Linked DNA regions of Drosophila melanogaster. The protein of the gene in region 1 interacts with the protein of each later gene in a pairwise test. Each region holds a gene or a part of one and is shown on either strand. Other genes may lie near its edges. The genes, in order: CG7208, lush and alphaKap4.

The links.
Region 2: the proteins of CG7208 (region 1) and lush interact in a two-hybrid assay, tested with the Drosophila melanogaster proteins (one large-scale study listed by BioGRID).
Region 3: the proteins of CG7208 (region 1) and alphaKap4 interact in a two-hybrid assay, tested with the Drosophila melanogaster proteins (one large-scale study listed by BioGRID).

Annotation. Positions count from the first base shown.
Region 1 is NT_033777.3:18,183,039-18,187,619, reverse strand, and holds CG7208 (uncharacterized protein), read left to right. Parts: upstream 1-1,904; 5' UTR 1,905-2,031; coding exon 2,032-2,085; exon of another isoform or gene 2,086-2,122; intron 2,123-2,222; exon of another isoform or gene 2,223-2,314; coding exon of another isoform or gene 2,315-2,359; intron 2,360-2,474; coding exon 2,475-2,962; intron 2,963-3,026; coding exon 3,027-3,837; 3' UTR 3,838-3,964; downstream 3,965-4,581. Other genes in the region: Arp5 (Actin-related protein 5), read right to left, coding at 1-1,247, 1,306-1,800; cdm (cadmus), read left to right, coding at 4,274-4,429, 4,528-4,581.
Region 2 is NT_037436.4:19,603,812-19,608,013, reverse strand, and holds lush (lush), read left to right. Parts: upstream 1-1,923; 5' UTR 1,924-1,952; intron 1,953-2,042; exon of another isoform or gene 2,043-2,058; intron 2,059-2,567; 5' UTR 2,568-2,762; coding exon 2,763-2,984; intron 2,985-3,039; coding exon 3,040-3,190; intron 3,191-3,250; coding exon 3,251-3,339; 3' UTR 3,340-3,616; downstream 3,617-4,202. Other genes in the region: CG9372 (uncharacterized protein), read right to left, coding at 1-11, 189-768, 837-973, 1,033-1,181, 1,346-1,433. UniProt on the Drosophila melanogaster protein: Odorant-binding protein required for olfactory behavior and for activity of pheromone-sensitive neurons.
Region 3 is NT_037436.4:6,008,936-6,012,725, forward strand, and holds alphaKap4 (alpha Karyopherin-4), read right to left. Parts: upstream 2,087-3,790; 5' UTR 2,017-2,086; coding exon 1,717-2,016; intron 1,650-1,716; coding exon 621-1,649; 3' UTR 511-620; downstream 1-510.

The DNA.
Region 1 (4,581 bases):
ATGAGCTCCTTGATTAGTCGCTCCTTGAGACCCTTGAATTGGGCACAACCGCCGGTTAGGTACACGTGCTCAACCAGGCGCTGCTGCTCAGCGGCGGGAAATAGCTTCAGCACGAATGCTATTAGTTCTGCTAGCCCCGCCTCTGAGCAACCAATCATGCTGGGCTGGAATAGAACCTCCGGCACGCGAATGTTCTCAACCCCAAAGTGCAGCTGGTAGTTCTCGGCGGCACTCTGTGGCGGAACATTGGAGTTGCCATCGGTGTTGGCATCATAGTGATTTAGGATCTTATCGAACTGCATCAACTTTTCGTTATCTGCATCCGAATCGCTGTCGTCGTTGTAGCGATTGATTCGCTTGTACACATCCCAGTCGTTGTCGTTCATCCCAAAGCCATCGTCCTCTTCCTCGCCGTTCGCCTTGCGCCGCTTCTCGTTCTTGGCCAGTGATGAAATGATTCGCATCCGTTCCTGCGCGGCGTGGGTGTGTCGCTTGGCCTGCTCGGATCGCTGCTGCTGGCGCGCCTGCTTGCGCCCGAGTATTTTCTCCCGCTTGCCCTGGAGTTCGGCCAACCAGTCCGCCTGGGACATGCCCTCTGGAGGTTTCGGCATCTTGTTCAGCCTCTCCTGCTGCTTGCTGGGGCGCGGGCCACTCTGAGCTCTCTCCTGGGCACGCTTAATACGCGAGTTTATGGTTGCAATGAGGGAATCCAAGTCCTCCAATGTACCAATCTGCTGTTGCTGTAGAGCTCGCTCAAACTTGTCCAGCTTTTTCTGCTCGTACAGTTGCCTCAGCTTGTTGTAGACGAATAACTGCTGCTCATCCTCGCGCAGTTTCTCCTGCTCCCGGTTTTTTTTTATGTCCAGCAGACGATGTGCCAGCTCGCGACGCTTCTCCTGCTTCTGCTCAGCGGTTAGCATGGCGTTAGTGGCGGTCACCGCATTGTACGGCAGTTGTATCTTCATTATGTGCTCGTCGTAATAGTCCATCTGGGCCCATTGCACCAGCTCCTCCTTGTAATCAACAGCAATGTGGCAGTGCTCATGGACCAATTTCTCCATACGACTGATGGTGATGGCATTCAGATGGACGGGATACTTCATTTGCATGAGCCGGAAGAGGTAGGTGATGATGTGGTAGCCACCCACATTCAGGCGACGCACATGCTCCAGCTGGAGTTTGCCATCTAACACGGGAATGACGTGGGTGGTGCTGTAGCCAAAGGAAATGATCAGGGCATCGGATATCTAAAGGGGAAATCTCGTATTAATTGGATGTTAGCAATTGCAAGGGCCAATAAACAACATTTTTCTGCTTTTGCTGATGATGCTTCCAGCTGTAGAGCGCATCTATGCCGTAGGATACAGACGGAATACCGTAGCACTCGAAGAGCAGCTCGTTCATCTGCTGGCGGCAAAAGTTGGGGTTGGCCAGCGCCTCTGTGAGGATGATTGGGTGGTCGATCTTGTCCTGTCCATCGAATCCCATCTTGGTGAATATGTAGTCGAAGATCTGCTCCTGGTGATTCCAGTTGGTTATCACATTCCGCTCGAATGGACTCTTCAGATGCGCACGCACCGCCTCGATGTTGGTGATGTCATTGCCCACCTGGATCTCGGCAGATTGCTCCACTGTTGTCTGCGATGCGGATCCCTCCGAAGCAGCTGCTTCCTTTTTGCGATCCTTGCGCGGCTTGGTCAGCACATTGCGGAACCGCAAGTCCGGCTCCTTGGAGTCGCTCCAGCCCACGCGGCATTCGTAGGATCCATTATCGATGACCAAAACACGTTTACCCGCCATTACAATTGGTTATTTCATTGCTTTTCAGTCAACAAAAAAACTCAGTTTCGCTTTCCACCCAATTCGTAAACAGTAATGCCGCAAAACCAGTGTTGCAGAGTGCCATTTTCCCAGTGTCAAGTCAAAATTCGAGTGAGATATTTTACAATATTAAATTTTATACAAGATCTCCAAAAGTGTTTTTAACTCTTTTCGTTAAATTAATAATTTTGATTTTAAACTTTAAAAAAAATGGTGTTTGTACTAGCTTACATTGAATCAAAGTACCTCAAGGAGGATGGAAAGGTAACTACTACCTTACATAATTATCTTATTTATTACTGGTTCATCGTTCAAAGCATTCAGTGTCGTAAAGTGCCAAGCATACTGTAAAACGAAAGCTTTGGCATAACGGTTCTAAAGATTCTCCAATAAAAAAGCGCATCAACATCTTGAATATTCTATTTTGAGAGACACACTTATTTTGTATATTACCAATTGTTAATTCAAGTTTTAATATCTTCTCTTACATAAAATGTTCGTCAAAGTGAAATTAGATGCCGAGGGAAACACAAGTGTGGTATGCAGTTATCTTAAGCCCGCACATATTTTACAATTGTGGCTTATAAATGGAGCTATAATAATTGAAGCTTAAATTTAATAAATACATATTTTCATTTCTCAATCCCATACAGATGCCGGAAATGTTCGAGCTCCACAATAATGCGACCATTGGTGAATTGAAGCAAAAACTGGAGGTAAAAGTAGGTCTTCCCTTGGCTCGCCTAAACGTACAGAGTTTTCACAAGTCTCTGGAAAACGATGAGTTTATTACAAATTTGCTCAGAATTCCGGATAAAAGCGATTATACTTATCCGTCGACAACGCTTAATGGTACAGCCTTTTCGCTGTACCACGAAAATTCCTTTGTAGGATTTCTCCAATTCTATACAATTCCAGAGGGCAAGAGCCAACTGGATTTCCTTAACATGCCGAAGAGCTCTATGCTTCTGCCAGTGGACAGGCTTCCGCAGTTTTGCGAGGCTTCGAACTCGCAAGATTCCTCCGCATCCAGTGCGTCGAACCAGACGAACGCCAGCTTCGAATCCGCAAGCACGAGCGCCAGCTCCGTAGCGCGAAAGACGAGAGTGTGCGCCTCCGATGAGGAATCGGCTGCCAAAAGGTGTGTGTTGTGTGTAATAACTATATATGTAAATGATAGGGATACCCAACTGATTCATTCACAGAATACGAAGCAACCAAGAGAACAGCGTGGTCAAGGTGGTTCCGCAGCAGAATCTGCTCGCGGACAAACGAGCCGGCAGCATGGCTTCCATATTTGGTTCGAAGATCCACCTGATGAACTGCTGCAAGACGGAGACCAGCCGCACAAGCTGCTCAGTGGAGCAGGCCGAGGAGTGCAAGGAGAGGAAGAAGGACTGCTGCACGCCAAAGAATTGTCGCAAGAGGGATACTCGGCCGCCGTATGCGAACACAATGCCCGAGAACCGACGTTACGCCTTGGTGATAACTAACCAGAGTTCGTGCTCGGATGGTGTGGACACTATCGCCCTAATGGAGCACTTTCATTCAATATTCGAGGACAGTGGATCGAGCGTCAGCGATCTCAATTTTAGTGAGTGTGCCTCAACGCAGACATTCGACTGCAACATGCTGGTGGTCTGCGAGGATAACGAAACGGCCCAATGGGTCATCGAAGCAGTCGAAGGTGTGGAGCCGCCCCACTCCTGCCAGCCCTTCATTAAGTTCTTCGATCTAGTGAGGACGACCTTTGTCCTGCCCTTGGTCAGTCCGAATAAGTCGCTCTGTGTGATCTTCGCATTACTGGAGTCACAGAACCCGGGCTTGAATACCGACAGATGGGCCGTCGTTAATCGCTCCACTTTGGACTGCCAAGACGTGGAGAGGCAGGTCGCTCAATTCTGCGACAACGTCCTTATTGAGGTGTATATCGATGAGGATAGCAGGGATTTCATCGCCGACCGGTGTTCCAAATTGCGATACTGTTTCTGGCAACTTAAATTCGATTTTATATAGGACTTTTTGGGCTTTCCAAATTCACTGTTAACTTGTTAAGATACTCCTCAATTGCAGAGAGTATTTACTAAATAGAAATAGTAAAATTTTATGAAGTGTACGAATGAATAAATGTTGTTATAAATTGAATTTTTCCTGCATATATCGAGCATATAGGCCACAAGCAATTTATACTATATTACATATTTATTTATTATTAAATACGTACATTTCAACACTTTTTATAAAAAATACAGGAGGAAAAAAAGCGCGGCAAAGTCGAAAATGGAGTGACCGCACACTCGGCCCGTCCGCGAATTGGTGACTTCGCGCGTTGGTCACACTCGCGAATCCAGTGCCCACAGGCAGAAGCAAAGAAAACCACCACCCGAGGATTAGCGGACAGGAGACTGCCTCTCGGCAGCAGCAGCATTAGCAGCAGCAGCAGCCATTCCACATGGAGCCCATTGACATTGCGCGTCTGGAGGAGGCGGTCGTGTCGTTCTACCGCTCGAACTCGCAGAACCAGGCGATCACCCATGAATGGCTTACCGATGCGGAGGCCAGTCCACAGGCCTGGCAGTTTTCCTGGCAGCTAATGCAGCTCGGCAAGGTGAGTACCACGCAGGACCTGCGCATCAATGCATCAATTACCCGGATATGTATACTCATGCACCTACCGCCCACCCAATCACCCCACCGCCCACACAGAGTCAGGAGGTGCAGTTCTTCGGCGCCATCACGCTGCACTCCAAGCTTATGAAG
Region 2 (4,202 bases), on another chromosome or scaffold:
GGCAGGTTAACCTGAAGATAGGAGTAATACATATTTTCTTAATTTAAAAAAGCTTTCTTTGTTATGTTCAGCTTGAGTTACTAAATTGCTGAAACCAATTTGTTTAGATCAATATAAGAAATTGAAAGCTTAAGAACAAAATAAAAACGCTGTATATAAAATGAAATATACTTTAATATGCGACCCACCTCCATGAGGATGTTAGAATGAGGACCGCCAAACTTTTGGGTGCCCCAACCGGTGACAATGGCGTTTCTATCCGACCAATCTTCGTTCACGGGCGGCATGCAAACTGGCCAGATGTAGGTGTTGAATATAGTCGCCCTGTCGATTCTGACAATTGCAATATCATTGTCGTAGTTCTGTGGATTATAATCGATATGGAGCACCATGTTGGCAATCCGGAAATCCCTCGCCCTCGTCTCATTCAGCATATGCGTGTTGTACTCGCCCAGACGCACGAAGATGTCCTCCTTGTTCTTCTTGTAGATGCAGTGAGCGGCAGTTAGGACATGACGGTCGGTGATCAGGACACCACCGCACCAAACGAAGGGCAGACCCTCCTGCAGCAGGGCCGCCATCCAAGGCCACTCGTCTGGCTCGGCTGGCCGTCCACCGGTGAGGCGGGGAAACTGCCTGGACGTGATCCCACAACCTCGCTGCTCCGGCTTATTAACGATGCGCGGCTCATCACCGTCCGCACTGGTCACGACTTGCGGACTAAATCGGTTGCTCGTCGACTGGTCAGTGCAGCAAATGCCTATGGAGCTGAAAGACAAATTATTTGTACATATAATACAAGGATGCCAAGCCATTAAGAAGAAAAATTCATATACCTTTTCTCAATGATGCAAAGCTGGGAGACCAGACGCCAGACATCATTCTTAAGTTCTGGCATGCGACAGTAGATAATGTGGCGACATCGGCCGGATTCACCCAATGGAGTGCTACATGCTCCATAATCCTTGTTCTCCTGCGGTTATCATTTGTAGTTACCTGATACTGGTATGTATGCATAAGACATAAACTCACCAGCAATTGCGAGGTGGGAGCCTGTCGCTTGTTTAGGCGATGTTGGGACAGGAAACTTACGACGCGGTTTTCCCCAGTGCGATTTTCGTATACCTGATTCTCCGACTCCCCCCATTGAAACTCATCATTATCGCTGAAGTCGAGAAGATCTGGGTGGTAGACGAAAATCTTTAGGTTTGGTTTACATTAGATTCTTGGAATTTGTCTTAGAAATATCAAGTATTTGGGTGAAATGAGTTTTAACTTTGATAAATAACTTTGCTATTAAATGCACCTGCACAATTTTTTATGTTGGTATAAAAACGTGACTCACCTAAAAAATCAGTGGATACAGTCTTGGCGATTGTACTCTGCGGGATATAGCCCAGTAAAATCACCAATGCCCAAAGAAATGCCTTCATTTTGAGTTATTTTCGCGAGTGCAGTGGGAATTTTAATCGCGTGTCGCTTCCGTTGCCCGCTGAATCAGTTCTGTTTTGACAGTTCTCCAACCAGCTAAAGCTACTTCTCCGATATGGAGCTGAGCTCAGATCGGCTCAATTTACATACGTCTTGCCTTGGATACTGCTGTTGAACCTGTTCGATGCGTCGACACTATGGGGTTTTCCTGGCTATTAAAGCGTCTTACTCCATGCTCAGTTCCCAGGCGAAAGCTTAATGGGATTGGAACCGCTAGCGATATAGTAACTATTATATAATACTTGAGTTAATCCGAGCACTTGGCTTATCTGTAGGGCGGAAAGCGAGCCACTGAAATGACGTCCCCTTTAATGCCTCTGAGCTTAGACCCAATTTGGTGTATTATCTCAATGTTGCTGGCAACAGCTTGGCAACATGTTGCCAGGGGCGAGTAGTGCCCATGATGATCAGTTTGGATTCTCCGAGGCGAACGTGATGTGCATCGCAAATGATCCGGTTCGGTGGGTTTTGATTCCATAGAAGTATCATCTCCGAAATACTAAGGAAGATTTTATACTCAGTTATATTCTCTATTTAATTGCCTTTTGACGCTTGCACATCAAAGTAGTAATAATAAATCAATTGCACGGCACAACCGGAATCGAAGAAAACATTTGCGATGCACGGTTTGATTGTCACTGCAGAAATGATTTTAATGTCTTAATTTAAAACCCAACCCTTTAACATTTTAACATAATTTAAGTAATAGTATTGAATGATGGAGGCGAAGAAAATGGAATGGGGCGACTTCAGTTGGCAGATTATGTTATTATGTAATAAGACGAATACCGAATAAGTGTACTAAAAAATAAGTTTAAAATAGAAAGCGTCAAACAAATAATTAGTCAAAATATCCTTAAAAAATATTTAAAATATATTATTTTAATATTATTGCGAAGACCATATTTTTATTATTTAACAATTTTTATAGGTAGAGCACTGGATTTGAATTTCTGGGAATATTATATGATCACATATACATATGAATATACATATATGCGGTGCTATAAACTCATCGCTTACCCACTTTATCCTGAAAATTGGTTTAAAAATTATTATTTATTATTTTTTAACAGGTATCTCTAAAATTCGACTATTGTCGTGTCATTCAAATGGTACAAATACAACTTCCTAGTCAACTCAAATGGCGTGCGAGTGTGTTACTTAATTATTAATCCCTGCGATTTAATTACCACCTTTCCCTGCCACCATGATCACCTATAAAACTCTCCTACGACATGGTTACTCAACGTATTTAGCTTTCCGCCACCATGAAGCATTGGAAACGACGCTCTTCCGCTGTTTTCGCGATCGTCCTGCAAGTGCTGGTACTCCTGCTACCCGATCCTGCAGTTGCCATGACGATGGAGCAGTTCTTGACCTCGCTAGACATGATCCGCAGTGGCTGTGCGCCGAAGTTTAAGCTCAAAACAGAAGATCTCGATCGGCTTCGCGTGGGTGATTTCAACTTTCCGCCATCGCAGGATCTTATGGTGAATGCCGCTTTCATTTTGCAGGCACCAGTGTTTGAATCCTTTATCCTTTTAGTGCTACACAAAGTGTGTGTCTTTGATGGCGGGCACTGTGAACAAAAAGGGGGAGTTCAACGCTCCCAAGGCGCTGGCCCAACTTCCGCATCTGGTTCCCCCGGAAATGATGGAGATGTCCAGGAAATCCGTTGAAGCTTGTCGGGATACGCGTAACTACACCCACACTTACCTTTCATAGCTGTAAATATATGTAAGGTATATCTTTGCAGATAAACAATTTAAGGAATCTTGCGAGAGGGTCTACCAGACGGCCAAGTGCTTCTCTGAAAACGCCGATGGGCAGTTCATGTGGCCTTAAAAATGTTTCTGGAAACTAAATTCATACTGGTTCATCCTTTAATGACCAATCCTTGGATGATTGCTTTATTATCTATGTTGAAATCATCAAATAGAATTGGAATTCGTAAAACATAAATTATGACAAGAAAGGAAGTTAGCTTCAAAAAGCCGAAGTATATACTTATATACCCTTGCAGTAATATGATGTTGATTAAATTGAAACCAAAATTTATATATTAAAGACAACTTATGTATACAGAATAACATCAATTTATGATTAAAAACGACGAAACTGTAGTTTGTGTTATATTATTTCATTCGAAACTCTATTTTCCGACTATTCGTATGCCTATATGACAAAGTCGTCCAATTCTGATTGAATCAAAACTGAAATTATATATTGTCAAAGTAACAAAGAACATTTTGTTTAAATTAATTTTTCGATTATGTATATACCCGCAATCGACTGAATTCGATAAGCAAATCTTTTTTTTTGAAAACAATCTTTAATCATATATTTGAAAACCTTTTTGTAGATTAAAATGGCACCCCAAAATATAAACACGCCGCATTGATTTCAAACATGTTATAGTTTATTGCTGATATTATTAACTAAATACAACGGTTTTATGTTTGCATAACGCATACTTATACATTTTGTAATCGATAAACATCCAATTGGCTTAGCAATGCATTCAAACTTAGGGAGATCTTTGCATTCAAGAGGTTACAAAATAAATGCAAATCTTATACAAAATGGTTGCCTTGCAAATCTGCGTACAAAGTTCTCTGTAATCGAGAGTAATCGATATCTTAAATTTCGGTTTCGGTATAGGAGTAGTGTCTTTATATATGTATGTAGATCTCTCCAAAAAGGGTCTC
Region 3 (3,790 bases), on another chromosome or scaffold:
TCGTCATTTGGCGCTAAGTTTATATTAAATTTCATTTTAATGGCCGTCGAAAAAACACAAACTCAGGCCGCTGATATGGGAAAATGTATAAGTATATATAGCTTATTTTCCCCTTCTTTATCGGTTTCCTACAGCATTGCTTGGGGAATGGGAGGACTCGGCCGTGCTGGGTATAATAACTTTCTGCATCATATCTGCAAGGCTATTAAATACACATAAAATTCGGTGCGGTATGCCAGCACTTTTCCCACGCTGCCCACGCAACACGGAACGCTTTTACCGCCCACACTTTCCACACTCTTGCCTCGAGCTGCAACCAATGGGAAAATCATAAAAATTTATGATTGCAATAATCTGGCTTTCGCACGAAACTTGTTTTTCATGCGGAAGTTCAATTGATGCAGGACCTACACAAAAATACAGACACATACATATAAAAACGATTCTTTTGCGGCCAGTATTTAAGCATCTCTTTTCAAGGCCATGGCCGTACTAAGAGAGAGTGTTCTTCAAATCATTTTATATTCACTCAATATAAAATCGCTTTATATAGAAAAAGTTCTGGAATTTGGATGGAAAAGTACAAAGGTATGATTAATGTTACTTCATATAAAAGCACATTAGAATTTAGTTGCGATGTGTGGTTTGGCGGGAAAGTAGTTACCAATGATTTTACGTGCCACAGCTGCGATTTCCTCATGTTCGCTGCTTTGGAGCATCCTGATATTATTTAAAGCTCCACTCCATTCGATGATGCCGGACACCTCTGCCGAGAAAGATGGATCCACATCTAGCATAGTGCTCAGTATATCGAGCACATTAGATAAGATGTCTCTTTCCTGGCAGAAGAGTAAATTGCAGAACTCTGGAATTACTCCCTGTCTCATAAGATAGCACAGGAGATTCTTGTCCTTATCGATGGCCAACGTGGTGATTGTCAAGGCAGCTGCAGATTTTAATGAAATCGCATCAGCTTTTAAGCACTCCAGTATTTTATGCAGGAGACCTGCATTCATAATGGCGTGCCTTTGGAATATATTTCCGTCAGCGATGTTTAGCAAAAGCTTAAGAACTTGACAGCGAATATCTGGATCACTATTGGACATCAGAGCCGATAAATGGGGCAAAAGGTTATTGTTAAGCAACTCTTGAATCTGCTCTTCGGATCCAGTTGCTATATTTATTAGGGCTTGCAGTGCGGCGTTCTGAACCGTAACGTTCGGATGCTCCAGCAAGTATATGATCCTGGGTACAACTTCAAAATCAAGTAACATTTGAATCGTTTCATTTCCATGGGCCAAATTACGCACTGCCATAAGTGCGTCCTCTAAAACGTTGGCCTCTGGGTTGTACAATACTATGTTCAATGCCTGAATGATCTCAGCTGCATTATCAGGTGGCGATGGTTGAGAGCTTATGCACAGTTTTCTTAGAACCCAGGTTACATGACTCAACATTAAAGTGCAAGTGCTTTTATCCTGAATAATAGACATCAGCTTTTGCATAAGTCCGTGTCTTATGATATAGTCACGGAGGTTCGGAGCAAAGTGCAAGAGATTCCCCAAACTCAATATACCCTTTTCGCAGACTTCAGGATCGGGTGACTGAAGAAGGCGAATCAATCGTGGCACGGCGCCAGCCTTCGCAATCTGCAAGAGTTTAATTACAATATAATAGGAATAATAGCAATAGCCTAGAAAATAATATAAAACCCACTAAATTTGAGTGCTCCGATGAGCCACTGGCTATATGAGCTAAAGCATCTGCGGCGTCGGCTCGAATTTTGTTCTTATTTCCGTGGCCAAGGGACTCCACCAGGTTTCCTATCGTATTGCTCTTAAGTAACTTATTGACGTCGGGAACAACTTCCGAGGAGGTTAATTTACATTTGGTTAAAGCATTGTAAATAGTCAGCTCTTTCTGGAGCTCAGCCTTTTTGGCTTTTTCCAATCGAAGCGTCCGCAGCATCATCAAGTTCTGCCCTTTTTTTAGGAAGCGGCGTTTACGCTTCTGCATTGTATTTGTATGGAAAATTTTGTATTGTGTATTTAAAATTTTGCTATGTGTTTGGTCTACGATAAAATTGTGTTTCTTTTTTTTAACAAATAGGGCAGAACCTTCTTAACTGAATCGTTTTCGGAAACTTTCTTGATCACGGGAACTTTTTGTATAACTGTGATAGTTATAGTTATAAATAAATATTAAGGTTACATTAGCTCTCAACTGAAATGATTGCATGTTATATTTATTCTGTTTGAATTGCAAACAGAATCTCCAAATATTTTTCACAGTGCAGAGATGAAGGCCACCCACCCAGTTTCAACCCACAGCACGAGCTGGCAAAGAGCCAGCCAGGATAAAGGACTATGCCTTATCGCATGCCGTCCGATCTGCGTTAGGTTATCAACGATATGCTTAATTTAGTTACCCCAGTAAAGACCTCTGCTCCCCATCCCATTGCTCCACTATAACGGTCCCTCGGCAAGTGTAATAATTTGTTGTTATTATCTCTCCGGCGGAGGCGACCCAAAAGACAATGCCGTTCACATTGGCCCAGTTCCAAGGGCGAAAGGCGGTAGGCATCCTTTGCATGTGGCATCCATCTATATGTAGATACATATACATATATATATATATTCGTGTAGGTACAGCAGCATAATGAGCGCATTACATGCCATGTGGCACTTGTGCCTATCTCCGATGTTCTCAACACTTGGCGCTTTGCCTGCGTCGAAGGCATAAATTTCAAGGACGCAAAAACAGGCGCGGGAGAATCGGAAAAACATGGCCCAAGAACATGCGAAGCGCGAAAAATAAATTGACAGCCCGAAGGTATGCAACGCTTTTGCTTGTGCTCTGCCATTTTTGACCTACATGTGGATAAATGTGTGTGGGTATGGGCGGAAATGGTGTGGGAGTGGCAGTTAATTGAAAAAATACCAACTTAAAGGCGAAAACTACACATTAAAGAACCAAAAAAATCTATCTTTGATCCGAAAATGCACAAACTTTTAAAGTGATTTTCCCAATGCAGTTGTCTAAAAATTACAATCTTCCGAATGTTTGTTTCCACACATTTAATAAAATGAAATTTTAGTTTTTATGACAATTTCATGGCGTTCATTGTGATTAAAAATTAAGTAGAGCACGCATTACGGTAATGCTCGGCATTTTGAAGAGAGCCCCTCATGCTGTTTAATAATGATAATGACTATAATTTATTGAATAAAAAATACCTCGTACTGGCCAAGAGCTCCAGTAATGTCATTAATTGCACACGCATGAATTTTTGATGCATTTGGTTGCGAAAATCAGTTAAACGTGAATTTATGCGATGCAGAAAGGCTCAAGGGTTAAACACGATGGGCATTGAAGTGTTTAAAACAAATATTTAATTAACGACAGGAATCATTTTGAAAGCGTTAAATCAGCAAAAATAAATCAGTCGTAAAAATACGTAACTAAACCAAATGGGTAAATGTTCCACAATTGCGTTTGTGCATGGGGCCGATTAAAATAAATATTTTATGAAATGAACCAAATTCATTCTCACCTTTAAAAAATGGGAATATGCATTCGATATTTCTCCATTTTTGAGGAAAGGAGTAGGCAAATGGCCGACGGTTATATGAAAATTGCCGCCCTGTGACGTGTGCGCAATTTCCGCCAGCCGAGGTTTTCCGAGGCGGGGTGATGCGGAGTGGATTGGCTGGCGGAATAGAGGCAGCAACTATGCCGGGGTCATTCATCCTGCAAAGTGGCGACACACCAAGCCATAGTCGTAGTCTCT